7 linked regions of the Sus scrofa genome follow. The protein of the gene in region 4 interacts with the protein of the main gene of each other region in a biochemical or structural test. Links are inferred from orthologs where the notes say so. Each region holds a gene or a part of one and is shown on either strand. Other genes may lie near its edges.

Region 1 (3,500 bases), on a different chromosome or scaffold from region 4:
CAATTGCTGTTTTTTTCTCAGAAAGCATACTTTTTATCAGGATTATATTATATGTGTGTATTGATTTAGGATTAATTAATGGATACCCCCTATGACTCTGCGTATTCTTGCTGGAAACTGCGTGCAGGACACTCGTCCGCTGATTTAAGTCTTTTCTTTCTTGGGCGTATTTTAAGATTATCTTCAGATGGATCATCTACTTTTATTTTCTTAGGTTTATTCCTAGGAGTTTTGTTCTTTTGGTTGTTGTTACAGTTGAGGGTCTTTTTCCTCCATTTTACTTTCTAACTAGTTGTATTTTACACTGTGCCTCTTTTTTGTTTTGTTTTGTTTTGTTTTGTTTAGGGCTGCACCTGCAGCATATGGAAGTTCCCAGGCCGGGGGTCCAATCAGAGCTGGAGCTGCCAGCCTACGCCATGGCAACGCCAGATTCGAGCCGCATCTGCAGCCTACACCACAACTCACGGCAACACCGGATCCTTAACCCACTGAGTGAGGCCAGGGATCGAACCCGTAACCTCATGGTTCCTAGTCGGATTTGTTAACCACTGAGCCACGACTGGAACTCCTGGAATTTTGTTATTTAATCTGGGTGAAAATATGTCATTCTGTTAAGGCTTTGTTTTTCATCATCAACACTTAAATGAATTCAGCTTAATGAAAGTTGTACTAGTACTGAAACCAAAAGTTTTAGTTTGCATGTGTAGTAAGATCTGTGATGTTGAAATGCTGTCATCTCGTTAATAATGTATAATAGCAAAGCTGATAGTAAAAGCTTTTCTTTGATTTTTTTTTTTTTTTTTTTTTTTTTTGTAAGATACTTAGGGCAGCGATTCCGAGTCAGCATAACCATACTGGAATTGCAGAGTTAACAGGGACGGTTACATGATGGTGGTGGCTTTGCCGTAATTTTTCTCTAATAGCACTTGGGATGTGTGGTATGTTAACAGTTATGTTTCAGCTGAGGGTGAAATGTGTGTACCACACAGGGGCACTCTTGAATACTGAGTTGACATTAGAAATTTCTATATGCTGTAATAATTCTGTATCTAAAGCAGCGGGGTTTTTCATAAAGCTGTATAAAACTGGTACTCATATGCTGTTGCATCATAGATACCTTTCTTTTTAATCCCTAAAGTTGCTCAATAAATAGTTGGTTTGATCCTAAGAAGCCTGAGTCTACTGCCTGAGTCTAGTGTCTTGTTTCTCTTCTCTCCTCCTCTTCAAATGCTCGTGGCAACCCAACAGTGACTGGGGCTAGGCCCTCATGGCTCAGTGCAGGAAATACAGATTGATGGACCAAACCCGGAGCACTCGTGCATCTCCTGTGAGGGCTAAGAGACACTGGACTGTCGCCTGTAAGAGATGTGATGGTGCTTTTCCCTTGGTCCAAGACCACGGAGCCTGTGGTCTTGTCATCCCTCCGTCCCTCCAGGAGCTACTACGGACAGTAGCCTTCCCTCCGGAGTCTGAGACTAGCCAGAGTCACTCTCTGTACTGGCTTAAAGCCTGCGATTGCCCCCACACCAGTCTTTAATCAATCTTGGGTGTATGGGCTGTGTTTCTAAAGAAGGTATTAATCTACTTTTTGTTTGCTTTGAGTTCTCTGATGAGGTGACATGTGAGAAACTTGGGGCAAAGGGTACTGGTTATGCTCTGTGAACACTCTGCTCACATGTGATCGTGTTTCTTCCGCAGGATGAATATTCCATCTTCCCTCAGACATACTCCATAGATATTAACGGTTATATCCTCGTGTATTCTGTTACATCAATCAAAAGGTAAGACTCCCTTCTCCTGCTTGCCTGAGTGTGCTTGCTGGGCATAGATAGCATCAGCCCTCCAAGGGATGACGCTGTCCTTGCTGGTACCTACGGCTGGACTTGCATGATTTCGAGGGGTTGTCTTGTGGAGCAAGCAGGTCGTTACGGGGAAAAACGATCCCAGAAGGTGTTCTCACACTGACGGCAGGAAACCTCTGCCTCTTGCCTCAGGCTGCCTAGATAGGTAATGATTGAACACCATCTGAGCTTGGCTGCTCATTGAAATGGAAAACGCACTAATTGATTTACTCTGGGTCTGTTTTCACCATGTCAGTGTGGAGCACAGACCGCGTGTGCGTAGAGCCTTCGCGTTTAGGAACGGTCCACAAATGCTTATTCAGAGATTCAGTCAGCCTAGACTTTCCTATTTGAATATCGCCCCTGCTCCACTTGGAGTAGTGTCAGTAAGGGTACTGAGTGTCGAATACACACACGAGGGAAAGAGTGGTGAGAGACCGTAAAGGAATTGCTTGTGTTCGGTTTATAGGAAAACAGTGAGTCTGACAGCTTCAGTTTTTCCCACTATACACATGACATAACAAACGCTTTAAAGCATCACTAAAATGAATGTCTAATTTCATGCTTTTTGTTTTATAGTTTTGAAGTGATTAAAGTCATCCATGGCAAATTGTTGGACATGGTGGGGAAAGTGCAGTAAGTAATAATGGTTTCGCTCTTTTGATAGATGTACTCAGAACAGTATCTCGGGAACAATCAAATCAGGCACTGATCTGTGTCCTTTGGCTTTTTTTCCCCTTGTATTAATAGAATACCTATTATGTTGGTCGGGAATAAGAAAGACCTACATATGGAAAGGTATGTAGCTTCTAAATAATTACTGATTTATAAAGTCAGGTCTAAGATGACTTAGTCACTGAAGTTCCATTTTTAATTATTGTTCTTAAAGCAAGAATATTTTTAGTGGTAGCATATCTGTGTTTGGGGGTTCAGAAATGGGGCGGTGTTTGTGCGGAGCAGAAGCAGAACTTCAGTGAAGATCTCACGCACCTTGGAAAGGGTTTCCTCTAAAAAAGAGCAAGCACGATAGGACAGTTGTCTTTGGATTCTTATTCTTGTACCATTTTGCATAACGCAGATTCTAAAAAGACAATGGTAGCACTCATTTTATTCAACAGATAGTTTCGGAGAGTGCCAGGCTTAGGGCTCAGAGCGATGGACCAGGAGCCAGGGGCCCCATTCCCTGGAGCCGAGCATCTCGGGAGGAAGAGAGCCGCTGGCCGAGTGCCCACAGCCCGTGCACAGCAGGGCTCAGCTGTGGCCCTTTCAGAGATGCCCGTCTCTGGGTGCTCACAGCCTCGCTGACCATGAAAGAGTCAATTGTGACGGGTACCAGAGTGCCCGGGTCCTGTTCCCCGAACTTCCAGAGCTCTTGCTGGAGCGCAGGGAACCCCGTGGGGCGGCGTCTGCTCTGTTCCCCAGCTCAGGGGTAACGGAACCGCTCCTCTGCCCTACGTCCTGCAGGATAGCCTTGAGCAGAGCTTGCTTCTGCTTCCTAAGAAACTGGCGAAAGTGGAGCCTGTGTCCCAAGTCAAGTCACAGGTGTTTGATGTAATAAAGAGCCGAGTCCTTGAAGTGAGATGTTCTCCTTCCTTTAGGGTGATCAGTTATGAAGAAGGGAAAGCATTAGCAGAATCTTGGAATGCAGCTTTTTTGGAA
Region 2 (4,016 bases), on a different chromosome or scaffold from region 4:
CTACCTTTTGGAGCTCTTTCAAAACTTTCTTCTGGGGCTTTCTAGCTGACCCAGGGGTTGTGCTGGGTGGGCAGTGGAGATAGGGGGCTATGAGCCAACAGCACTGAATTTTTTTTAGTCTCCTCCCGGTCTGGGCAACCAGACTGGACCTTCAATGGAGGCAGCGGGAAAGAGGCCCCACGCCAGGACAGTCCCCTCCCCAAGTCCCTCTGCGGGGAGCATGACTCTGCTGGTGGTCACCTCCATCTACAGAAAGAGGGAAGGAGGCCAGCGGCCCCCAGGGACCATGCATCTCCATCACCACCTGCTCCAGCCTCTAGCCCAGAGCTCCTGGTACAGACGTGCTAACATCAGCAACTCCATGGACCTGAGGAAGTAGAGAGAGGAAGCAGGGGGTCAGAGGGAGGAGGCAGGGGGTCAGAGAGAGGAGGCAGAGGGTCAGAGGGAGGAGGCAGGGGGTCAGAGGGAGGAGGCAGGGGGTCAGAGAGAGGAGGCAGGGGGTCAAAGGGAGGAGGCAGGGGGTCAGAGAGAGGAGGCAGGGAGAAAAGGGACAGGGCCAGAAAAGGGCAAGGAAGGGGGGGATAAATCTGTGGCTTTCCTCTCTGAGAGAAGACTGTGACTCTTCACAGGGCCCCAGCCATGTGGGGCTGTGTGAAGCACCCAGACACCTGGACATCAGGTGACAACACCTCCATGAGCTCTGCCGCCTGCCCCCCTGGGGGGGGGGGGTGGAGGGCATCTTTCTTCCCGTCTTCTCTCCCAGAGGAGGCACTGTGGGCAGCACTGTGGGCCCAGCTTCTCTCCTCCTTCACTGCCTGCTCCCCTCTCTCCATCCACAGCCAAGCTGACCCTGCACAATGAGGAACAGGCAGGGGTGAGAGCTCAAAGGGCTTTTCAAGAGTGTAGAGTCCCCTGCCCGGGAGGCCCAGAGAGTGGGTCATGGGGACCACTAGCAGCACAGGTCCGCGGATGCAAGTTCTGTGACGCTCAGCTGACCTCGCCCCAGGGTCATTCTGAAGGCACGTGGGGAGGGGGGGCAGAAGAGCCTGGAGCAGAGATGGGGTGGGCCGCGCTGGGGGAACAGTTGCCACAGCCAGGCAGGCTTCCATCATGCTGGGCGCTCTGTGTGTTTTATTCCAAAGACTTCACAAGAGTCCCAGGAAGAGGGGACCGCCATCGACCCACTGGACCGACGGGGACACTGGAGGTCGGAGAGGCTGAGTCACTTGCCCCAGTCCACACAGATGACTGGCCAAGCCAGGATTAGAATCAGGCCATTGGCTCCACAGTCTGGGCTCTTACCTAGAAAAACCCACCCCCTGGCCCAAATCAGTCTTTTTCACAACAGTGTCTGACTCAGTGAAGCCTCAGCTGGCGTCAGGCAGGGGAATGACCCCAGAGGCCTATTCTAATTCCCACCCCCCTCTCTCTGGCTGCAGACGGCTGGGGGCAGGCACCCTGCTCAGGACGCCCCCAAAGCTGGCCCGTCCAGCTCCCAGCAAATGCACCTGCGGGCCTATCTGGAAGATGGAGGAGTCAGAGGGGCAAGGACGGCAGGATGAGAGTCTGGATGCATCCCACCTTTGTGGGGACCCCCTCCCCCTTCCCTCCCCCACACCCTGGGGCCTCCTCCAAGAGCCCACATCCCAGCCTCTCTGGACACATATGCATTCACTGGCCTCCGTGCCCACACCAAGGGGAGTCCTGGGGGCTTGGAAAAGCCAATCTCACCACCCTTGACAGCTCAGAGTCAAAGCGGACAGGACCAGCTTCCAGCGGACCCGCTCCACCTCTCACCCGCCCAGCAACCCTGGGCAAATGACTGGGTCTGGTCATCTAGCAAATGCTAGAAGCAAACCCCCCGCATGGCCCTGGAAACTCAGTGAAAAGTCAAGAGGCCCCCAGGGCTCCTGGCACACAGGAAGCAGGTTCCTTTCTTTGTGGCACTTCCTCTTGGCAATCAGGGGGCTGTCGGGTGGGGAGGGGCTGGAGGGCAGGCAGAGATCCGGGGGGACACCATCTTGTCTCTGTGAAGCTGGGGGAAGCCTGAATCATGGGCTCCGGAGCTGGCTGCCCGACCCCAGCCTGGCCTCCCCTCTTCCCTGAGGTCCTGAGCAACATCCATCCTGCCAGGGCCGGGGGCAAGAGGAGAAGAGAGCCCCACAGAGGTGCTTGGGGGCCCTCTGGCCAGCTGAGCACAAGAAAGCCTTCCTGGGAAGGGGATCACCCAGGAAACCCACCCCTTGCACCAACACCCATCCCCACCCTTGCCCAAAGCTCGAGGAACTCTGGACAGGAAAAGCACTCCTTAAGCGTCCCTTCTCAAAGGAGGTCTTTGCCAAGGCTGGGCTGTGGGGGAGGGGGCACAAACTGGCCCCCTCCCAGCCCCACCCCACCCTTGTTCAGGTTTGCAGGCTGAAGCTGGCTTGGGAAGGGGAGAGGGAATATTTGGGGAAAGGACGGAAATGCCTGTTCCTCTCTGAGCCTCAATTTCCTTATTTTCAAACAGGCTGTTGCTCCAGATCTCTTAAATGGAAAGCTTCTAGCACCAAACCTGGCACACGGAAGAAATTCAGTAAGTCTTTCTTTGCTGGGATAAGCACCCAGCCTGACACATGGTAGGTACTCCACTAATTGCATTTTCTCTAAATAGGTGAAGTTGCGGGATTACCCTGGACCATAGTAGGTGCCCATACAGTTTTAACTTTCGCTGGTCCTCTAAAGCCTCACCTGGCCTCCCCTACCCAAGCTTCAAACCTTTCTTCCTGGCTTCCCGGCTTCCCCAGGCTCCCAGTTCTGATGGAGGGTCTCTCTCCTACCTGGGAATGGCGGGCCAGGCCTCTGGCGCGGCTGGGAGGGATGCCTGGAAGCGCCTGGAGGTGCGGGGAACCGCCTGGCTCTCCAGCCGCCGAGCCTTCCAGAGTCTGCGGCGGCTCCCGGGTCACTGCGCCGGACTCCTCCTCTGCGCGGCTCAGGGCGCAGGGCTGGGCGCGGCCGGGCGAGGGGACACGGGGAGCTGGTGTCCCATGGGTGGGTTCCGAGGGCTCAGTGGGGCCCGGGCTCAGGGCGGGCTCCGGCTCGCCGCCGCCGGCCCTGCCCTGCCCGGACCCGGGGGACTCCTGTTGAGCCAGGTGCCCGGAGGCGTGGGGACGTCCGATTCCGGGGGCCCCGCCTGGGGCTCTGGCGTTGGGGGGAGAGGGCAGAAGGGGCGACTCCGGGTCCTTAGAGACTCCGGGAGGGTCCTTTGGAGGTGACTGTGGGTGCGTGCGTATGTGCGTATCCCGGGTGAGCGAACCTATCCTGGCCCCGTATGCCACCTGCTTCGCCCGCCCCGAAGGGGATTGCTCGGGTTGGGGGGTGCCTGCCCGGCTCCGCCGCGCCGCTTCCTCTGCCCTCAGCTTTGCAGGTCCCCGGACGCCCAGAGACGGCTCCTTTCTCCCTGCGAGGTGACGCCAGCGGCTGAAGGAGGAGCAGGGTGTTCGGCTCCGCGCGCGTGTGGGAGGGGGCCTTGAACGCCGCCCCAAGGTTCCGCAGCTTCGAGTTAGCCTTAAATCGGTTCCTCCACCCACTTCACCCCTTTGGCCCCCAGAGGAGGAGAACTTTCTCGGGGCCTCTGGCTCCTCCCTCCTTCTCTCTCCCAGAGGCAGACACCCCCCTTCCTCCCGCCAGGCGAGGTCAATGGTCCCTCCTAAAAGTGATCGGAGCCCAGGCTCCTTATAGCAGTCCCGTGGCAGAAGCTCAGCTTAGGCCTGGGCGCCCTCCGCCGCCCCTGCGAACGGTTCTCCGTGCACCGGTCGCATGGCTCCCCCTCGCCCGCTCCGCAACCCGCGAGCAGCCTGTCCCGCCGCCTGTGCCTGCCTCTGCCTGCTGGAGCCCGCTCACCCGCCTTCGCCCGGCGCCCCGCCCCCGGCTCCGAGCTCAGCCAATGGCAGCGGGTCCCAAGGTCTGGCCCCGCCCCTGCCCGCCCCGCCCGCGGCCACTAGGACGCCGCAGTCCCGCGCTCCGCGTGCCCGGGC
Region 3 (4,182 bases), on a different chromosome or scaffold from region 4:
GTTTCTTCAGAGCAATATGCCAACGTGTGTGTTGCAGACATGTGGAGTAACCAGGCACTGAATCTTGGGTGTTTGGTCCTAGGTTTCTTACCTTCTTTGTTCAGGGGCTTTCTCACTGCATACTGATGGACATCATCTTCCTTAGACTGCAAAGTCTGTGGATTCTGCTAGACCTTCTCGGTCCCAGGCGACGAGGGTCGGTGAGAGTCGGTGAGTCCAGGAACATCCTTCTCCCCTTTCCTTATGAGGACAAAATTGAGAATACTCGGATTGGCATGCAACCCTGAACAGATGTGCGCTTTCTTTCTCCAGTCCTCTGTGGTAACGGGAATGCCCTTACTCAGCAGCAGGAGGATGTGGCCATGGGTCAAAACACCCTGCTTCATGGGGAAACCTTGTTTGTTGTTCCCACCACTGATCCAGACCACATAACCCTCCGTTCTTCACCTAGAACGTCAGCAGCAACTTCTGTGGCCATACCTTTCTCATAAAAGGTAAGAAGTTTGGGTTCATCGTCTACGTCAATGAGTTTCTTGCAGCCAGTGGCAGGGAAAGAGACGTTCAGCTTCATCCTGAAGTGGCCGACCGCCTTCGAGGCACCACACAAAAGAGCTGCTGTTGTTTTCTAAGGAGCCCTTAGATATACGGATAATTCGTATGTTGAAATCCAAGCCCCCAAAATGATGGACTGAGGAAGTGGGGCTGCTGGTGCTGAGGTCCTGAGGGTGGAGCCCTCTTGAATGGCATTAGTGCCCTTTTAAATGAGGTCCCAGAGAACTCTCGCCTCTTCGACCACGTGAGGACACAGCAAGGAGACCACCAACCATGAATCAGAAAGTAAGTTCTCGCCAGGCACAGAATCTGCCAGCGCCTTGATCTTGGACTTGTTAGGTGTGTGAACACTATGGGCAGGTTATTTAATCTCTGGGGATTCCTCAGCTGCAAAACAAGGATTAACACCTACTTGGTGGGTTCCTGACAACAATGAAATAGTTCAAGGAGTCTAAATCACCAACAGAACTCCTGGCAGGTACCAGGTGCCGCAGAGCTTCCCCATGTGCCACAGCACCCAGGCCACCATAGTGCCGGCATGTGGATGTTGGCAGGGCTGAGCCTAGGGCAGCTGGGATGCTGGCTGGTCCCTCCAGTGACCATACACATGTGACCGTGTTCTCTGTGTTCCACAGTGAACATGGGGAGCACAAGAGGCACTCCATGATGGGGCCCTAATCACGGCCTGGCCTGGCCTTGCCCTGGCCCCACTGTCCTAGCTCAAGGACCTGTCCACTCCCGGGAAGCACAGCACCCGCTCACATGTGAGGGGCAGTCATTCCCTCCCTCCCCCACACAAAACTTTACCCAGGACTGTTTCACCAGATTTAAAAAGTGTACAGATAGGAGTTCCCTGGTGGCTCAGTGGGTTAAGGATCCAGAGTTGTCACTGTAGCAGCCCAGGTCACTGCTGTGGCATGGGTTCTATCCCTGGCCTGGGGACTTCCACATGTCATAGGCGTGGCCAAAAAATGTAATCGATAGGAGCAAAATTTGTGTTTTTTTTCTTTTTGGATCCAACTGCCTAACTTTTTTTTTTCTTTTTTCTTTTGTCTTTTTAGGGCCACACCCGCAGCTATGGAGGTTCCCAGGCTAGGGGTCCAATCGGAGCTGTAACAGCTGGCCGACATCACAGCAACAGCAACATGGGATCCAACCTGTGTCTGCAACCTACACCACAGCTCAAGCAATGCCAGATCCTTAACCCACTGAGCGAGGCCAGGGATCAAACCTGAAATTTCATGGTTCCTAGTCGGGTTGGTTAACCACCAAGCCACAACGGGAACTCCCGCCTAAAATTTTAAGGGAAAACATATTTCTCTTTCTAAAAGTAGTGTTTGTAAGAATTCAAATGCACTCAGAGAGACAGAGTAGGAAGTGAGAGTCCTTGCTCCCAGCCTCACTTCTGATGGCCTCAGAGGGATGCCAGCATACTCGGTCACCAAGCTGGTAGAGGAGGTTGCCAGCAGCATGGCTGGGGCAGCCCTGAGGATGACCATGTGTCCAGGACGATGAAGACTGGCTTTTCTGACCCGCAGGCAGGAGAGAGCCGAACTGATGAAAAGGGAGAGAAGCTTGCGCCCTTGGAAGAGACAAAGCCAGGCCTCGAGACCCAGACTTCCCTGAACAATGTCCATTGGCCACGCTCCCTAACAGGCCCACCTGTCCCGACGCCCCTAGAGCCTTGTTAGGGAACAGGAAACATAGGGAGGGTCCAATCACACACCCTCGGTCAAATAAATGCCACTTTCCTTTAAAATGCCACCTTGCTGGGGGACAGGAGGCGTTCCATGCTGGAGGAAATGATGGTCTCTTTCGGGTGCCAACACAGAGGGTGAGGCCACAGCCCCACAGGGCCCCTCGGGTTTGGAGGCCCGGGGGAGCGGACCAGATCTGCATACCCTCCTAGCCCCGAGAACCGCCCTTGGACAGCAGGGGCCTGAAAGGGTCTGAGTCCTTTCCTTGCTGTCATGTTCCGTCAGAATGGCCCCAGAGCTGCCTTATGTTCTGCCTTCCACAGAGGCTGCCTTGGGAGGCAGTGCCCCCTTGGTTCTGGAAGCACCCCCTCTTCGAGCCTCTAGCGCGGCTCTTGGGAGTGGGGGGCCACCCAGTCTTACTTGCAGAGCACAGCGTCGCTGTCAGACAAGGCCTCGTACACACATGGGTCACTGTCCTCTTCATCTCCGGGGACCGCCATCGTGAGGCCCAGGAACAGGGCTGCCGTAGCCAGCCTCATGGTCCAGCCCATGGGCACCTGGAACGGAAGGAACTTCAGTGCCACCAGGCCCGCCGCAGGGGGTGCTCTGCCCACCCCAGAGCCCCTGCCCCAGGGGCCCACCTGATCAGAACCCTCTGCTCAGTAGGGAGAAGTGCAAGGGAGAAGTTCCGGCCAGGCTGGGCTCCAGCAGCTAATCCGTACCCGGACACAAGAACCTTGGGCGGACCTGGGCCTCTTCCCAGCTGGACTCAATTTTCAGTCCTGGCTGAGGCCCCTCCTCCACGGAGCAGAGCTGTGCTGTCACTCTGCCTGCCGCCCGCCTGGGCGCAGAGCAGGCTGCAGCACAGGAGGGCTTATATAAGCCTCTTACACAGCCCCCCCTCACCCTGCCCCTCCCGAGTTACCCCTGTGCAATCAGTTGAGCCTCCTCCTTTGACTTTAAAGCAAACTCTGGGAGGCTGGTGACCCCAGGCTTCGGGTTCTGGGGGTGCTCATGACGGCCCCACCTTGCAGGGTTTTCTAGGAGCAGGCATGAGGCTGGGGTGCGCCCTTTGCACCAGCTCTGCTTCTCCCACCCACAGCTCCTCTGCCACCTGTCTTGAGAGCCTCGGGGCTGTCGGATGGTGGTCACGGTTGGACACGGTGACCCTGCGGAGGAGGGGCTGCTGCACAGGGGAGGAGGAGGGGAGGGCCACCAGGCCCTGAGGCCAGCTCTGAAGGGCCAGCTGAGGACAGAAGGGTGTGCCCGGCTGTACCTTGCACTGGTGCTGAACTCAGCACTCTCCCAAAATAATAGTCCCTGGAGAAGAAGGCCAGCAGAGCTGCTCAGGAAGGGGGAAGCTTGCACAACTCACTGCACTAGGAGGAAGGGGGGCCTAGGGCTGCGTTGAACACTTGCCTGGGACCCCTGGGTGGCCTTCGTTCCCTCAGGGAACAGGCCTGCAGGCAGGAGGGTGTGGGACTCTGATTGGAACCAGAGAGGCAGGGGGAAGATCAAAGGCAGTTCCTCCACCACAGGGGAAGGGGGAGGGGACCTCAGACACCAGTTTCTGCATTGAGCTCCACTACTTGGCTGGGGGAGGGGGGGGGTGTTGTCTCACACCTCTTCAGGATGCACCACGTCTTGTAAAAACAAATAAAATGATCCTGTCGCCCTTGTGCGGGCGAAGGAAGATGAGGGTAGGTCTAGAGTACATGCAGCTAGATCTTCAGAGAAACATTTCAGCAGAGCTTGCTTTTCAGTTGAATTCCTGCTTCCAGGACCCCAACTTGCAGCAAAAGCCCTTCTTTGGGGCAACAGACCAAACACATTTCTCAATAATCATACTCCCTGAAGTATGACAAAGGCTCCCCACCCCCATCATTCCCAAGGTCCCTCCTACTGGACAGTGTCTCCTAGCAGCCGACCCACA
Region 4 (3,500 bases):
TCAGCTTCCCATCACATGCACACTTTCCACCTGGGCTCCCACTTAAAGTTTGAAAGAAAATTAATAAGAAAATATATAAGTAAAAATCACTTTGCAAATGAAAGACTACTGTTGAAATACAAGGGGATTATTATTATCTATTCTGTCAGCCATTAAACTTTCATTTTTAGGAAAGGAACAAAAACAAATTTACTCAAGTTTTGCCTTCAGTTCAAAATGTACCTAAATGTACAACACTATGACTAGGAGGCTCTTCAGGTTCACAAAAGTAGTATAAAGGAAGTTTTGTTTTAAGAAAGTTTTAATAAACTGAGGAGAGTGCAATAGTTAGAAAACTGAGAAAACCCTGGACTGTACTTCCCAACCTTGGAATCTTGCCTTGCCTAGGTACACAGAATAAACACAATACACTGATTTTATACAAAGAATGGAGGGTGGGAAAGGAGGAGGTATAGATGTTTTGAACTAAGGTTTTCTCAAATCTCCCACCAAGCAAAATTAGCACAACTTCACTTTTCCGTTTCAACCTGGTGGTTTTTGTTTTTTGTTTTCCCTCCCAGGATAGTAGGAAACTTTCTGAGCAGCAATTTCTTAGAAAAGTTGGGGTTTAGGGCCAGAAATTATGCAGGAATAACTGGCTAGTGAGTGCCCCACAAAAGAGCTGTGATTTCTAAGCTACCGCCAGCTCTGCCCCAGGGCCTAGAAAATTTACCAAAATAATTTTTTCTAGATAATTTTATCTTCCTCTATATATACTACTGTAATATCATGAAAAATTTTAAACAGTGTGCTTTAATATTCAGAACAAAAAAGTTTTTAATTAGCTGGAAATGTCCAAGGGAGCTTTTCAACACATCTTTTGAATGTACTATTTGTTTAGATGATATGGCAGAAAAGAAGACATTCCAGGCAAGACTAATAACAGAAGGAAAGCCAAGAGGTGGGAAAAAGCAAGGAATGTGAAAGAAATATAAAGCAATAAAGTCTGCAACTGGAAAGCCAATTAATTAAGACCCTAATTGGAACCTCTTACACTGTTTGTGGGAATGTAAATTGGTGCATATACTATAGAAAACAGTATGGAGGTTCCTTAAAAAACTAAAACTAGAGTTATGATATGATCCAGTCATCCCACTTCTGGCCATATTTCCAGAAAAGATGAAAACTCTAATTCAAAAATATATGCACCCCAATGTTCACAGCAGCACTATTTATAATAGCCAGGACATGGAAACAACCCCAGTGCCCATCAACAGACAACTGGCTTAAGAAGATGTGGGGTGTGTGTGTGTATATATATCCCAGAGAATATCATTCTAAGTGAAGTTAAGCAAAGAAAGACAAATATTATATAATAGTATGAAAATGAGTCTATATACAAAACAAACACAGACTCACAGACATAAAGCACAAACTTATGGGTACCAAAGGGGAAAGGCAGGAGGATAGGAGTATGGGATTAATAGACACAAACTACTCTTCTTAAAATAGATAAGCAACAAGGATTTACTGTATAACACAGAGAATTATATTCAATGTCTTGCAACAACCTATCATGGAACATAATCTGAAATATATATATCTGAATCACTCTGCTGTATACCTAAAACTAAACCAATATTGTAAATCAACTATAACTATATTAAAAAACAAACAAAAAAGGAGTTCCTGCTGTGGTACAGTGGGTTAAGAACCCAACTACAGCCACTTGGGTCACTGCAGAGGTAGAGGTTTGATCCCTGGCCTGGCACAGGGAGTTAAGGGATCTGGCCTTGCTGCAGTTGTGGCATAGGTCAGAGCTGTGGCTAGGATTCAATCCCTGGCCTAGGACTTTCCACATGTCTCAGGCACAGCCATTTAAAAGAAATTCACAGATTGTGCCTGTCTATAAGATGATCAGCATGATCCATAATGTCTTCTATAGGCTAATGAATAGCTACATTTTGAGAGGAATGTTCACGTACCACTGTTCTTTGCTTGTTTGGCAAAAAAACACGGATAGTGTTGCTTGTCTTAGAAGAGTCCGTAAGTTTGCCATCATCTGATGCCCGACGCTGATAGCCAAACTGCTGAACTATTGTAGGGGAGATGCAGCTGGGGCCATCAAACACTGCGTCTTTGAATCCAAAACCATTGCTGATCGTCTTCCAGGCCCCCTGTATGTGCTCCATTGATGCAGCTTACAAAATACCTAAACCTGGTTTAAAAAAAAAAAAAAAAAAAAAAAAGACAATTATAATTTTTGAAAAGTAGTTAACAATGCAATAGAGTAATTTTGAAAACAGTTGTATGTGGGCTTTCTTATAGATAATATCTTCTGCTTAAATATATTATTCAGAAAATTTCTACTTTAGTATACTTTTTTATATTTAACTTTTTTTTTTTTTTGTCTTTTTAGGGCAACACTCACAGCATATGGAAGTTCCCAAGCTAGGGGTTTAATTGGAGCTGTAGCCGCCAGCCTACACCAAAGCCACAGCGATACCAGATCCGAGCTATGTCTGCGACCTACACCACAGCTCACAGCAATGCCAGATCCTTAACCCACTGATCGAGGCCAGGGATCAAACCCACAACCTCATGGTTCCTAGTTGGATTTGTTTCTGATTTGCCATGACAGGAACTCCTATATTTAACTTTTTTATTAAAGTACAGCTGATTTACAGTGTTGTGCCATTTCTGCTGTACAGCAAAGTGACTCAGTATACATATACATACACATTCTTTTTACTTTACTATAAAATATTTCATAGACAACTCAGAAATATGCAAAATGGGGACTAGAGATCAAAAGACTCACCAAAGCATATATATCAAGTTAAAAGACAACCTGGAACATAAGCCCAGGTCTCTTAATTTCTAGTCTAATACTTTTTCAATTCCATTTCCCTTCTTCTTTGATTACTGTGTATTAAGTATGAGCAACTACCCTTGAGTATTAGTAACACCTTATGAGAAGTACAAAAAAAAAAAGCGTAAGCCGTAATGTTCTGCCTTTGAGGAAGGAAAAGGAACTAATATTTCTAGGATGCATATTAAGACACTTTATACATAAATGATCTCATCTGGGGGTCCCTTGTGGCACAGCAGAGTAAGGATCCAGCATTGTCACTGAAGCAGCTTGGTTTGCTGCTACAGCACAGGTTTGATTCCTGGCCCAGGACCTTCCATGTGCCAGGGGTGCAGACAAAAAAAAAAAAAAAAATTATCTTATTTGTGTAACAACCCAAAAAGATCTTAAATCCTTTCTCCAACCACCCTTTATTTTACTTCTGTGCCTAAATAAGGCACAGAAAAACCATGCTATTTGCCAAAAAAAACATCCAGGTGATAGGTAAAAGAGCCAAATTCTGTTTATATTTAAAGTACATGAATCTTCCAACATAACATTCACAGTTTGGTTTTAGTGCAGAAACAAAGCTTATAAATAGAAGCAAGCAGAGATAGTCACCTAACAAGAAATAATCATGTTTTAATCAAGCTACAAGAAAACTGCAGTC
Region 5 (3,500 bases), on a different chromosome or scaffold from region 4:
ACCACAACGGGAACTCCTGTATGCTGATTTCTTTTCAACCTACAATAAATTTCACTGAACTGAAATTCCTGGTCTGACCATGAGATCATGGACCATTTGGGTCCCAGCTTCTTGAGGATTAGAAGCTACTAGCACACATAAATAAAAATGACAAAAGCCCTACTTTGGTGGGACATGAGAAATCAGGAACCATCTTAGCTTTCTGCTTATTCACAGAATAAGACCTAGCAGTGTCCGGCACACAGTAGGTGCTCAATATACTTAGGCAATGAGTGAGATACTGAAAGAAAGGAACTGACTGAGATAGAGTCAAAGGAAGCTAGAACTTCTCTGTGGAATATTTACTTACCAGTGTGTCAATCTCCTCCAAGATCTTCATAAACTGCTCGATGGTGGCTTTTATTCTCCTATCAAGTTTGCAGAGAGCTTCTGCTTGCAAATCCTTGGCCAGAAAACCCTGTGGAAGAATGACACATCACTGCAAGGGTTCTCTGAGGCTGGTGAAAACGCTAAGCCAAGCAGCCACAGCCCAGTCCACACTCCCCAACAGGCTGGGCCAGACGTCAGGCCCACAACTTCACCTCTTGGGAAAAACAGAGAAGCTAGCCCTGAGCCACCCCAAACACTGCCAATAGGCTGCTGGCCATTCTATCTGACGTGGCACACTGAGGCTGCAAATGCCCCAGGATGCCTGGCTCTGGCAAAGCCCCTGTCACCAGTGTATACTCATATACAAGAGGCCCACACAGAAGAGGCAGATGTTAAAAGCATAGGGTTTATGGAGTTCCCGTTATGGCTCAGTGGGTTAAGAACCTGACTAGTACCCATGAAGATTCAGGTTCGATCCCCGGCTCCAAGTGGGTTAAGGATCTGGCATTGCTGTGAGGTGTGGTATAGGTCACAGATGGGGCTCAGGTCTGGCATTGCTGTGGCTGTGGCATAGGCTGGTAGCTGCAGCTCCAATTCAACCCTACCCTGGGAACTTCCATATGCCACAGGTATGGCCCTAAAAAGCAAACAAACAAACAAACAAACAAAACACAGGGTTTAGAGTTTGACAGGCCTGGGCTTTAATCCTGACTACTCCTCAGCATGGCCTGTGATTTCGAGCAAGTTCCTTAGCCAGTCTGTGCCTCAGTGTTCTCATTTTAAAATGGAGATCATAAGCAATGAGATTCTGCTGTATAGCACTGGGAAATAAATCTAGTCACTTATGATGGAGCATGATAATGTGAGAAAAAGGAATGTATATGTGTGTGACTGGGTCACCTTGCTGTATAGTAGAAAATTGACAGAGCACTGTAAACCAGCTATAATGGAAAAAAAATAATAATTAAAAAAAAAGTTTCCTGGAAAATAAATAAAGTGGAGATCATGATGCCCACACCCCAGAGGGTTACTGTGAGGATAAAGAAAAATACATGTAGAACTTTATTTTTTTTAGGGCCACACTCACGGCATATGGAGGTTCCCAGGCTAGTGGTCGAATAAGAGCTGCAGCTGCTGGCCTATGCCACAGCCACAGTAACATGGGATCCAAGCCACATCTGTGACACACACTATAGCTCATGGCAACGCTGGATCTTTAACCCACTGAGCAAAGCCAAGGATCGAACCTGCATCCTCATGGACACTAGTCAGATTTGTTTCTGTTGCGCTGCAATCAGAACTCCAACTTTTTTGGGGGCTGTGCTTACAGCATGTGGAAGTTCCAAAAAATCAGAAATGGTCAGGAGCTACCATTGTGGTATAGGGGAAACGAATCTGACTAGGAACCATGAGGTTGTGGGTTCGATCCCTGACTTTGCCCAGTGGGTTGAGGATCCAGCATTGCCATGAACTGTGGTATAGGTCACAGACACAGCTTGGATCCTGCATTGCTGTGGTTGTGGTATAGGCCAGCGGCTACAACTCTGATTGGACCCCTAGCCTGGGAACCTCCATATGCTTCAGGTGCAGCCCTAAAAAGAAGGAAAAAAAAAAAAAATTCAGAAATGATCAAAAAAGGAGTTCCCATTGTGGCTCAGTGGTTAACAAATCCTGCTATGAACCATGAGGTAAGGTTTGATCCCTGGCCTTGCTCAGTGGGTTAAGGATCCAGCATTGCCGTGAGCTGTGGTATAGGTCACAGACGCAGCTTGGATCCCGCGTTGCTATAGCTCTGGTGTAGGGCGGGGGGCTACAGCTCCAATTAGACCCCTAGCCTGGGAACCTCCATATGCTGTGGGTGCAGCCCTAGAAAAGACAAAAAATAAAATAAAATAATAAAAAAATAAAGAAATGGTCAAAAAAGATTTATGTCTAAGGATGATTGCACATAATGGTAAAAGAATACTGGGTGGTAAGTAATAGAGAAGTGGTTAGGTAAACCATGATACATTCATATGACATAATATGAAATATGCAAATTTTGAAAAGTGTGATCACTTTTTTCCAGTTAAGACTTTTTTTTTCTTTATTGAAGTATAGTTAATCAATAATGTGTTAGTTTCAGGTGTACAGCAAAATGATTGGGTTAAGTATGATCATTTTTAATAACATAAGAAAAAGTTCAATTTTTTAAATGAATAAAAGGAATTTAAAGGGTTCCTAACATGACACCAATTTTTTTTTTAACTGGAAAAATAGATTCCAGTTTTTAGTAACAGTCATCTTTGAGTTAGGTCTTAAAGGTAATATTATTTTCCATTCTAGTATACATATGTCTATTTAAAAGTAAGGTACAATCAGCATATATGAATTTTGTAATGAAAACACATATATATCCATTAATGTTATAAAATGAAGGGGTCAAAAATACGTATGTGGTTTGGGCCTGTTCCTAATCCTTATTTGGTTTCATTACTCCACCTCTAATATTAGGGGAATTGAATAGGATGACCCCACCACACCACCACAAGATCATGCTCAACTTGGACCTTCTTTGAATCAACTGAGAGAAGCTACTTATTCTATTTCAGGCAATGCATGAACCTAGCACAGCAGGTGTTCTGCCAGGAGCACAAATGGATGCTGGCTGGGGTTTGGAAATAATAATAATAATAACACTTATAAAGCACTTAGTCAGAGGCTCAAACTATGTTATTTAATCCTTATAACAACCCTAAGAGGGAGGTACCATCAATACTCCCTTTTTACAGAGGAGGAACATGAGACAAAGGCGAACTTGCCCACTGTAACAGAAACGGTAGAGCCAAGATCTGAATCCAGGGAGTTGGACAACAAAGGCATCCTTGTAACCACACATTTGTATCTCTAGAGAGTTCACATAAAAGGAAGAAAGTCAAAGTCCACAGACAGATTTACCTGCTGGATTCCAGTAAGCTCTTTATTCAACTCTTCCAGTTGGTGAGCTATCTTCTCCACAGATCTCTCCAAATCTTTCAGCTTTTTTAGTTCTACTTCTTCTTCTGAACTGTTCTAAAATATGTAAATTATTATTATTGTTGTTGTTTTTGTCTTTTTAGGGCCGCACCCTCGGCATAGGGAGGTTTCCAGGC
Region 6 (3,674 bases), on a different chromosome or scaffold from region 4:
ACCTTCACCCTAAGCGATATCTTTCCCTGCCTTCTCTTACTCTTCTGCCTTGACCAGAAGCACTCAGGCACAGGCAGTACCGTGGTTTGCACAGTCCCGGTTTGGAAACCTCACCCGTCCTCCTCCTGTTGCGTGGTGGAGGCGCTGTGAGGAACACGTGGACTGGTTAATCCATAAGCACCAAGCATCATGCTCTTGAATCCCTGAGAACCAGCTGCATCCCTCCCTCTCAGGGGCTCACTTTTCCATCTGGCTTCTCTGGGGGCTTCCAGCAGGCCATCAAAGGACCCTGGAAGAGCACTAGTCAGCGGTGGGGGTGCTGGAACCCCCCATGTCTCCTCCCCTAGGGAGGTGGTCAGTTGAGTGATACCTTCTGGCGCCCGTGGGCTGTTTCCCACCCGAGGGGGCAGCATGATGCACAGGGGCACTTTGGGCAGCCGCGGATTCTGGAAGTGCACTCAGGTAGGGCACGGATGTGGAGGTGGAAGGGTGTTCTGGCCTCATGATGCCTCCAGCTGCTAGAGCCATTCCTGGCCTCTTCCTCCAGCGGCCATGGGGGCCTTGCAGCAGCGCTGTCTAAGCAATTACACTGCCTGGTCTCGCGCTCACTCTCTCCCCTTAGACGCATCTGACCTTCGGCAAGGAGTTCACAGAAGCGGTGGAAGCCAAACAGGTGGCTCAGCAGGAAGCAGAGAGGGCCAGATTTGTGGTGGAAAAGGTGAGCGCTCAACCAGATGGCAGGAGCCCCTCTCCCCCTTCCTCCTGTGCTCCGCCTCCCGGTTTGCTGGGTGGCCTGGAAATTCATCATCTGTCATCTCTTCTTCCGGGACATCGGAAGGGGATTGAAGGGACTCTGCTCCTGCAATTGGTTCCAGAGTCTTTGGGGTCCAGTCAGGGATACGTGGGGTTATGTTCCTAAATCACTGAAGGGTAATTTTTTTTCCACTTCCCTAAGATCAAAAACACTCTCCCACAAATAAAGATGTTCCTTCTGGAACATTTTCAGCTTCACTGAGAAGTCGTTTTTAACCATGGTTACACAGTGAAAGCTGACAGCAGAAAGGATCAAACGTTGCGCCAGATGTACCATCATCACTGGATTTTTTTTTTTTTTTTTTTTTCCCTCAAGCACTAAATCCGTCCAGATGTGTCAGAATGGGCTGGGACACAGCATGTTTGCATGGAGCCTGGTCTTTTGGTCTTTGCAAAGATGTATTTGCTTCTTGTACCCCCTTCGCCCCCCGACTAGTCGTCTTGGGTTTATAGTCCTCATCCAAGGGGGTCCTCAGAATCAGAGAATAGAGGGGTTTATGGGTAGACGTTTAACTCCAGAGCATATCACTCCGTGTGGGTGGCGACTTCTTGCTCTCCTTCCTCTCTCCAGCACCTAGAACCTGTCCACAACCGTGCCTGGGCCTAGATGCTAAGGATCACTTGTTGAGTGAACAGTCCCAGAGCCTCCGTTTAACAGCTGTGTGTCCAAACAGCTGTGTGTCCATTGCCGAGAGGCTTGGCACTGTGCTCTCCTCCCGTCCTTCTGAAGGTCGTGCTGTGCAGGTCGATGCCATCCTGTCCCAAAGGGTAGGGAAAGCCCAGGAGAGCTCGTCCTGGTCAGGAAGCAGTTTAGCTCCTGTCTAGGGAGCGTCCCCTGTCTGTGGTCCTTCCGAGCCACGCTGGTCTTGACCGAAGTCGCTTTGACTTGGAGCTGGAGGGAAAGACGAGGGTCGGTTCCTCCTTCTTTCTCTCCTGGTTTCCTTGGCCTGGGATCCTCAGAGCAGGGGGGCTGCATTGCGTTGTTATTCGTGTTCTGGAGGACTGTGAAACAAGACAGCGGTTTCTGCAGCCACCAGAAACATGTCCCTGCAGGGCTGAGCAGTGGGCATGATGGGCGAGCGGAGGATTGGGCGGCCAGTGCTTGCCGACCCCGCCTGCAGGGGGCGGCCCATTCCCAGAGTGCCTTTCAGGGCCCAGTGAGGGCGCCTGACCGGGTGCTTTTGAGGCCGTAGCCTGCCGTCCGGCACCCCGACCTTGCTGTGACCTTGGTCTCCCTCTGCCTCTCCGCCCGCCGTAGGCTGAGCAGCAGAAGAAGGCAGCCATCATCTCCGCCGAGGGCGACTCCAAGGCGGCGGAGCTGATCGCCAACTCGCTGGCCACTGCGGGCGACGGCCTCATCGAGCTGCGCAAGCTGGAGGCCGCGGAGGACATCGCGTACCAGCTGTCACGCTCCCGGAACATCACCTACCTGCCGGCCGGCCAGTCGGTGCTCCTCCAGCTGCCGCAGTGAGGCCCGCCCCTCCCGGGGCCACTGGACCCCAGCCCCGGTGATCTCAGCCGCTCCTTCCTTCTCCCACCCCAGAAATCACTGTGAAACTTCATGATTGGCTTAAAGTGAAGGAAATAAAAGTAAAATCACTTCGGATTTCTAATTACTCTATCAGACGAAGCTCTTTCATTCCTCTCATTTCCATCCCCTCTTTTTATCCACCTCCCCACCAAAAATTGCCAAGTGCCTATGCACACCCACTTGGCTCCCGTCTCGGGGGCCTGCTGGCGCTCCCACCTAGGCACTGGCAATGGGCAGAAGAGAGGCAGGGCTGTGAGTGGGACGAGCCGGGCAGGACGCTGGTGGCCTCCAACCGATCAGTCATTCAAGACCTGAGGCCCATGCAGCTGAACTGCGAACACAGGCCTCGGTTTTTTTCCAGTGGTCCCTGCACAGAGAGGTGCTGGGGAGGGTCCGAGAGGAAGCGATCTGTCTCTCAGCATAAGGCTGATTCTCTTTAACTGGGGCCAGCGGAAGCAGGTGTGTACAACCGACGTGGACTGAAAACTCTGCCCCTGTGAAGGTGGGTGGGCCTGATGTGCTGCCCCTCAGGGTCCTAAAACTGGAGTGGACTCGGCTAGTGAAAGAGCGGCCCTGGACCGAGATGTGAGTCCTGCAGACTTCCTGTCCACCCCCCACCTTGGTGTCAAGTACCGGCGGAATTCCAGCTTGAAGGATTGCATCCTGCCGAGGCTGCACAGGCCTGCCAAAGACGTGTGCGTCCTGCGTTCCTGGCTCCCTCGTTCAGAGACTGCCCTTACAGAGGGCTCTGCGCCTGTGCCTTGAAACAACCACCAGAAGAAAACAAGTGTGTGTAAACTGCTATCAATAAATGACATCCAGACCTCCCAGCTCAGTCGTAATGGGTTTGGTGTTTTCACTTTGTTTTCTGGGTTTTTTTTTTTCTGGTGGCAGGCGGGGGCGGGGGGGGGTGGTGGTTGCTTGTTGGAATTCATGGGTTGAGGACAGAGCATTCTAGTGGTTTTTGTGTGCTGGTGTTTGTATCACCGGCGAGGATAGACTCTCCGGCAAGGCAGAAAATGCTTTGGTTTCAGAAGACACTGCTGTGTTCCAGGTCCAGCTGCAGCCGGAAATAATCGGTGGTGTCAGGTGAGGTTGGTGGCAATGTGGTTTCCTAGGGAGGTGAGGGTGGATGGAGGTTCATTTACCCGTGGCTTTTGGTGCCCCTACAAACTGAGCGTTGTAGGCCCACCACCAAACGAGAGATGGACATAAAACACCCGTGTGCTAATAAGCCCTCCATGCGCTCTGGATAGACTTTGCTTTTTTTGGCCACCCCGAGGCATATGGAGTTTCCGGGCAGGGATTAAATCTGAGCTACAGTTGCAGC
Region 7 (4,196 bases), on a different chromosome or scaffold from region 4:
GGGAATCGAGTTGCCTAAAATCTCCGCTAGGCTAAGGGCTTTCATAAATATAAGAATAAAACTCTAAGAACCAAGCTAAAACTTAGCAGCACTTCAGGCCAGTCCTGACGTGCACCCAGGCTCCCCTCCCCTCTCCCTCGAAAAGCAGCCTTTACTGACCTGTGCCCTTGGGAGGCCCAGAGCCCACATAATCGGAGAGGACTGTGCCACTGCTGATGTCGTTGCCCTTCATGTTGACCACCAGGAAATGGTGCCATTCCCTATGTGGAGGAATAGAAGACCATCAGCACCACGGGAAGTTAGCACCCAGTGACAGACAAGACAGTCGGCCCTGCCTTCTTGGCCAGCGCGAACTTCCTGTGCCAGCAAAGGGGACCCAGCTACGCCCTCCATCCTTCCCTCAATTCTCAGGCAGAGGTCAGCAAACTTCTATAAAGGGCCTAACAGCAAATGTTGTAGGCTTTGTATAAGACACCATCTCTAGCACAACTATTCAACTTTGCAGTGATAGCATGAAAGCAGCTATAGACAGGACATAAATAAGTTACCACGGCTGTAACTTTAATCTAGGGACACTGAAATCTGAACTTCACTTAAATTCATAGAGTATTACTGTTCTTCAATTTTTCCCCCATTCCTTTAAAAACATTAAAGTCAATCTTAGCTTGTGGGGCTGTACAAAAACAGGTCTGAGGCAGATCTGGCTCTCAGCCATAGTTTCTAAACTCTCACTCTATGGAGTAAAAGGGAGAGAAACAGAAATGTACACTCAGGCTGAGGCATGGATATGCACACCCAAAACCAAGTCTATTTCTCCCACCACAGCATGTCCAGCAAGGGACTTGGTGCAAGAAGCCCCATGTCACATGTGGATGACCTGATGTTCCCCATCTTTTCCCAACTTGCCTGTATTTGGGGTCCTTCCTGCTGGGAGCATCCGGGTCTGTCAAGACCAAGGTGTAGAGTTTATCTGGATTCAGTCCATCCCATGTAATGCTGGTGGGCCTGCTCTTAACCTGTAGGAAGGAATGGATTTGAAATTTATTTATTTATGTATTTATATATATATATATATTTTTTATGTCTTTTTGTCTTTTGTTGTTGTTGTTGTTGCTATTTCTTGGGCCGCTCCCGCGGCATATGGAGCTTCCCAGGCTAGGGGTTGAATCGGAGCTGTAGCCACCGGCCTACGCCAGAGCCACAGCAACGCAGGATCCGAGCCGAGTCTGCAACCTACACCACAGCTCATGGCAACGCCGGATCATTAACCCACTGAGCAAGGGCAGGGACCGAACCCACAACCTCATGGTTCCTAGTCGGATTCGTTAACCACTGCGCCACGACGGGAACTCCCGATTTGAAATTTAAAAGTCAGAAATGCTGAAGAAATCAATACTCTTTTTTTGACCTCATATTCCTCAAAGGTCAAGCAGAATAAATTGTTAATAAAAACTCAAGTGTACTGACGCTACTAAGGAGCTGAAGTTTAATATACGTTATTTATTTTAGTCTCGACAACACTATGGGGCTAATATCCTAGCATGTTATTAACAGAAAGAGATGGGTCAGGATTTAAACCCTGATACTGAGTTCTCTCAAGTACAACCTGAAATAACAGGATCTTTAGATTGCTGACACATTTCCTAGGGCCTGCTAAAGTGAAATCTGAATTAACTGGATGTTTAAAAATGCAGAGAAAATGAGAAAGCCGAGACGGGCAGACGTGAACAGTGAGTCCGGGAAAGAGAGGCTGTGAGATGGACACTTTATATTTAAACAACAAATTCTAAACATTTAAACCAATAAACCACCCGAGCAGTTTATTCACACCGTTGCCTCGGAGCTTCTAGACCAACAGCTTGCCACAATGTCAGGATTCTCCACTCCAGAAGCAGCCAGAATCAGGCTGCGCTTCAGCCTTGGGCGTCAAAGGCCAAACGGTAAATAAAGCAAGGCGGTTACCCTCGAGCCTTCCAGCTGCGGAACGTACTTACTTTGGGTGGCTTCAGGCCACAGATCGCTAAAACAAAGGACGATCGCCGAGAACTGCCGAATACTGGTTACATAATGCGTCATATGCCCTCGGGTGGAGCTCTTACTCCCGAAATTAAGGCCTAAAACCCCCTGGCCCTAGGGGAGGCTCTGGGGGCTTGTGGGCAGCCACTGACCTCTCCCGCCGGCGACTGCTCTCTCCCCGCCCCTACCCCAGCGATCTAGGTTGTCTCCAGACCTACGCCACTGCCAGCTCCTCGAAATCTCCAGGAAAATAGATCCATTTCCCCTGCAGGCCGTGCCCCGCCCTCCACGTGCCGGATTCCCGGGGCCCGGAAGGTCCGCAAACCTGCGGCACGGGAACCGCGACCCCCTTTCCTCGGTGGATCCGCCGCACGGAAGCTGGAACTTCCTCCTCACACCCGCTGGGTCCCCGCTCTGCCGGCCTGAGGGCCTGCCGGCCTCAGACAGCTGTACCCCCTCCGACTCGGGTACCTGGGTAGGTGTCAGCACTTTGCCCAGCTCGTCGACCTCAGCCCCGCCGTATTTGACCTGCAGCGGGTGCTGTGGCCGCTCGTCCACTTCCTGCAGGCTCAAGGGCCCGGACCACTTGCCGAGGTCCACTGGCATCGCAGGGTCGAGCGGGGCGCAGTGCAGGAAGAGCAGCAGAAGTAACACGCAGCGAAGCTGCACTGGGCTCAAAGCGCTTTCCAAATTGGACGGAGGCAACGCTGGTCAAGAGGCCCTGGAGCGCATGCGCTTGAGCAGCGCCCCGCCCCGCTCCTCCAGTCGCTGGCAAGGGTGGGCCTCATTGTGCCCTCTGATTGGTCGAGCCCGGATCGTCCGGCGCGCCAGGTCAATGCAGCAGGATTGGCCTTTCTTTTTGCAAGAAGGCGCTTGCAACCTGCCACCCGCGGTGTTCCCAAACACTGTGCCAGAGCTTGCAGAACTCTTTTTTCAAGATGTACATTTGAGCTATCTTTAATTTTTTTAAAAACCTTTTTGCATGGTTTTTTGCTCCACTTTTCTAAACGCAGAAATGGTAAGGCCTTGCTTTTCTTTTGCATTTCTTAAAACAAGTGTCATTGCACAGCCGCGCTGTATTTCGCGCATGCTCACTGGTTTCCGAAAACTGGGAGAGGACCTAAGGTAACTTTTGAGCATTTTTTCCCCAACAAATATATTTGCACATATATTTGATCCCCCTACACCCACTGGATCCAGACAAGATTCCTGGGAAATGATGGGGTGGTTTTTTCTTTTTTAGTTGTTATTTGTTATTTGAGGGAAAAAATTTTAACCTGTCTATCCAGTTCAATAAGGATGAAGTTAGCCACTGCAGTCCCCATTCTACAATACACCGTGAATGGAATTCAAAACAAGAAGAGAATGAGGCACTCCGGTTTGGAAGAAAAAGGCAAAACACTCAGATATACTCCAGGAGAATTTTTTTTATGAATCCAGATTCTTTCCTCTTCCCATACTTAGAAAAGCACTAAGCTCGTGAACTGAAATATCTGCTCCCAGTGACTAGTAGCAACCTTCTACCAAGATGGATGCTTGATTGAATGTACCCCTTAGTCAAAAAATGTGCAGGAGTTCCCATCGTGGCTAGTGGTTAATGAATCCGACTAGGAACCATGAGGTTGCAGGTTCAATCCCTGGCCTTGCTCAGTGGGTTAAGGATCCAGTGTTGCCTTGAGCTATGATGTAGGTTGCAGACGCGGCTCGGATCCCGAGTTGCTGTGGCTCTGGCGTAGGCCTCCGGCGGCTACAGCTCCAATTCAACCCCTAGCCTGGGAACCTCCATATGCCGCGGAAACGGCCCAAGAAATGGCAAAAAGACCCCCACCACCACCCCGCGCACGCAAAAATAAAAGTACATATCCTGGCCCCCTACCTCTTTCAAGCAGTTCCTCAGAGCTATCTGAAAGGGAGCCTCTGTCTTCAGTAGTCCTTAGTAAGACACGAAATAAAACTCAACTTACAGTTGTTATGTTGTGCAGTTTTTTGTTTTTAGTTGACAAACCATAGTTACTAGGCCTACTTTGTTGACAAGTGACTCTGCCTCAAAACTGCTCTCCCTGTGGCCACCAATTTCTTTTTATTATATATGACTGGCACTATTTAAATCCAGTCCTTATCTAATTTGACCTTAGGACAGCCTTTGAGTTTAATAATTCTGACCAGGTAATAAAAAGTTG

What was found.
Region 1: the proteins of RAF1 (region 4) and RHEB form a complex in vitro, tested with the Homo sapiens proteins (3 studies listed by BioGRID and IntAct). The link is inferred for Sus scrofa from reciprocal best matches to the Homo sapiens genes RAF1 and RHEB.
Region 2: the proteins of RAF1 (region 4) and RASD2 form a complex in vitro, tested with the Homo sapiens proteins (2 studies listed by BioGRID). The link is inferred for Sus scrofa from reciprocal best matches to the Homo sapiens genes RAF1 and RASD2.
Region 3: the proteins of RAF1 (region 4) and PEBP4 form a complex in vitro, tested with the Homo sapiens proteins (2 studies listed by BioGRID). The link is inferred for Sus scrofa from reciprocal best matches to the Homo sapiens genes RAF1 and PEBP4.
Region 5: the proteins of RAF1 (region 4) and BAG1 form a complex in vitro, tested with the Homo sapiens proteins (2 studies listed by BioGRID). The link is inferred for Sus scrofa from reciprocal best matches to the Homo sapiens genes RAF1 and BAG1.
Region 6: the proteins of RAF1 (region 4) and PHB form a complex in vitro, tested with the Homo sapiens proteins (2 studies listed by BioGRID). The link is inferred for Sus scrofa from reciprocal best matches to the Homo sapiens genes RAF1 and PHB1.
Region 7: the proteins of RAF1 (region 4) and PEBP1 form a complex in vitro, tested with the Homo sapiens proteins (3 studies listed by BioGRID and IntAct, with this or other methods). The link is inferred for Sus scrofa from reciprocal best matches to the Homo sapiens genes RAF1 and PEBP1.

What each region holds. Positions count from the first base shown.
Region 1 is NC_010460.4:5,813,939-5,817,438, forward strand, and holds part of RHEB (GTP-binding protein Rheb), read left to right. Parts: intron 1-1,698; coding exon 1,699-1,781; intron 1,782-2,420; coding exon 2,421-2,477; intron 2,478-2,591; coding exon 2,592-2,639; intron 2,640-3,439; coding exon 3,440-3,500. UniProt on the Homo sapiens protein: Small GTPase that acts as an allosteric activator of the canonical mTORC1 complex, an evolutionarily conserved central nutrient sensor that stimulates anabolic reactions and macromolecule biosynthesis to promote cellular biomass generation and growth.
Region 2 is NW_018084968.1:2,087,533-2,091,548, reverse strand, and holds the start of RASD2 (GTP-binding protein Rhes), read right to left. Parts: upstream 2,801-4,016; 5' UTR 1-2,800. UniProt on the Homo sapiens protein: GTPase signaling protein that binds to and hydrolyzes GTP. Regulates signaling pathways involving G-proteins-coupled receptor and heterotrimeric proteins such as GNB1, GNB2 and GNB3.
Region 3 is NC_010456.5:7,169,836-7,174,017, forward strand, and holds the start of PEBP4 (phosphatidylethanolamine-binding protein 4 precursor), read right to left. Parts: upstream 2,801-4,182; coding exon 2,670-2,800; intron 1,464-2,669; exon of another isoform or gene 1-1,463. UniProt on the Homo sapiens protein: Promotes AKT phosphorylation, suggesting a possible role in the PI3K-AKT signaling pathway.
Region 4 is NC_010455.5:68,609,406-68,612,905, forward strand, and holds part of RAF1 (RAF proto-oncogene serine/threonine-protein kinase), read right to left. Parts: intron 2,198-3,500; 5' UTR 2,172-2,197; coding exon 1,965-2,171; intron 1-1,964. UniProt on the Homo sapiens protein: Serine/threonine-protein kinase that acts as a regulatory link between the membrane-associated Ras GTPases and the MAPK/ERK cascade, and this critical regulatory link functions as a switch determining cell fate decisions including proliferation, differentiation, apoptosis, survival and oncogenic transformation.
Region 5 is NC_010452.4:33,234,098-33,237,597, reverse strand, and holds part of BAG1 (BAG family molecular chaperone regulator 1), read right to left. Parts: intron 3,421-3,500; coding exon 3,307-3,420; intron 458-3,306; coding exon 350-457; intron 1-349. UniProt on the Homo sapiens protein: Co-chaperone for HSP70 and HSC70 chaperone proteins. Acts as a nucleotide-exchange factor (NEF) promoting the release of ADP from the HSP70 and HSC70 proteins thereby triggering client/substrate protein release.
Region 6 is NC_010454.4:25,596,020-25,599,693, reverse strand, and holds the end of PHB (prohibitin), read left to right. Parts: intron 1-622; coding exon 623-718; intron 719-2,071; coding exon 2,072-2,284; 3' UTR 2,285-3,174; downstream 3,175-3,674.
Region 7 is NC_010456.5:34,527,439-34,531,634, forward strand, and holds the start of PEBP1 (phosphatidylethanolamine-binding protein 1), read right to left. Parts: upstream 2,801-4,196; 5' UTR 2,623-2,800; coding exon 2,488-2,622; intron 1,017-2,487; coding exon 907-1,016; intron 261-906; coding exon 160-260; intron 1-159.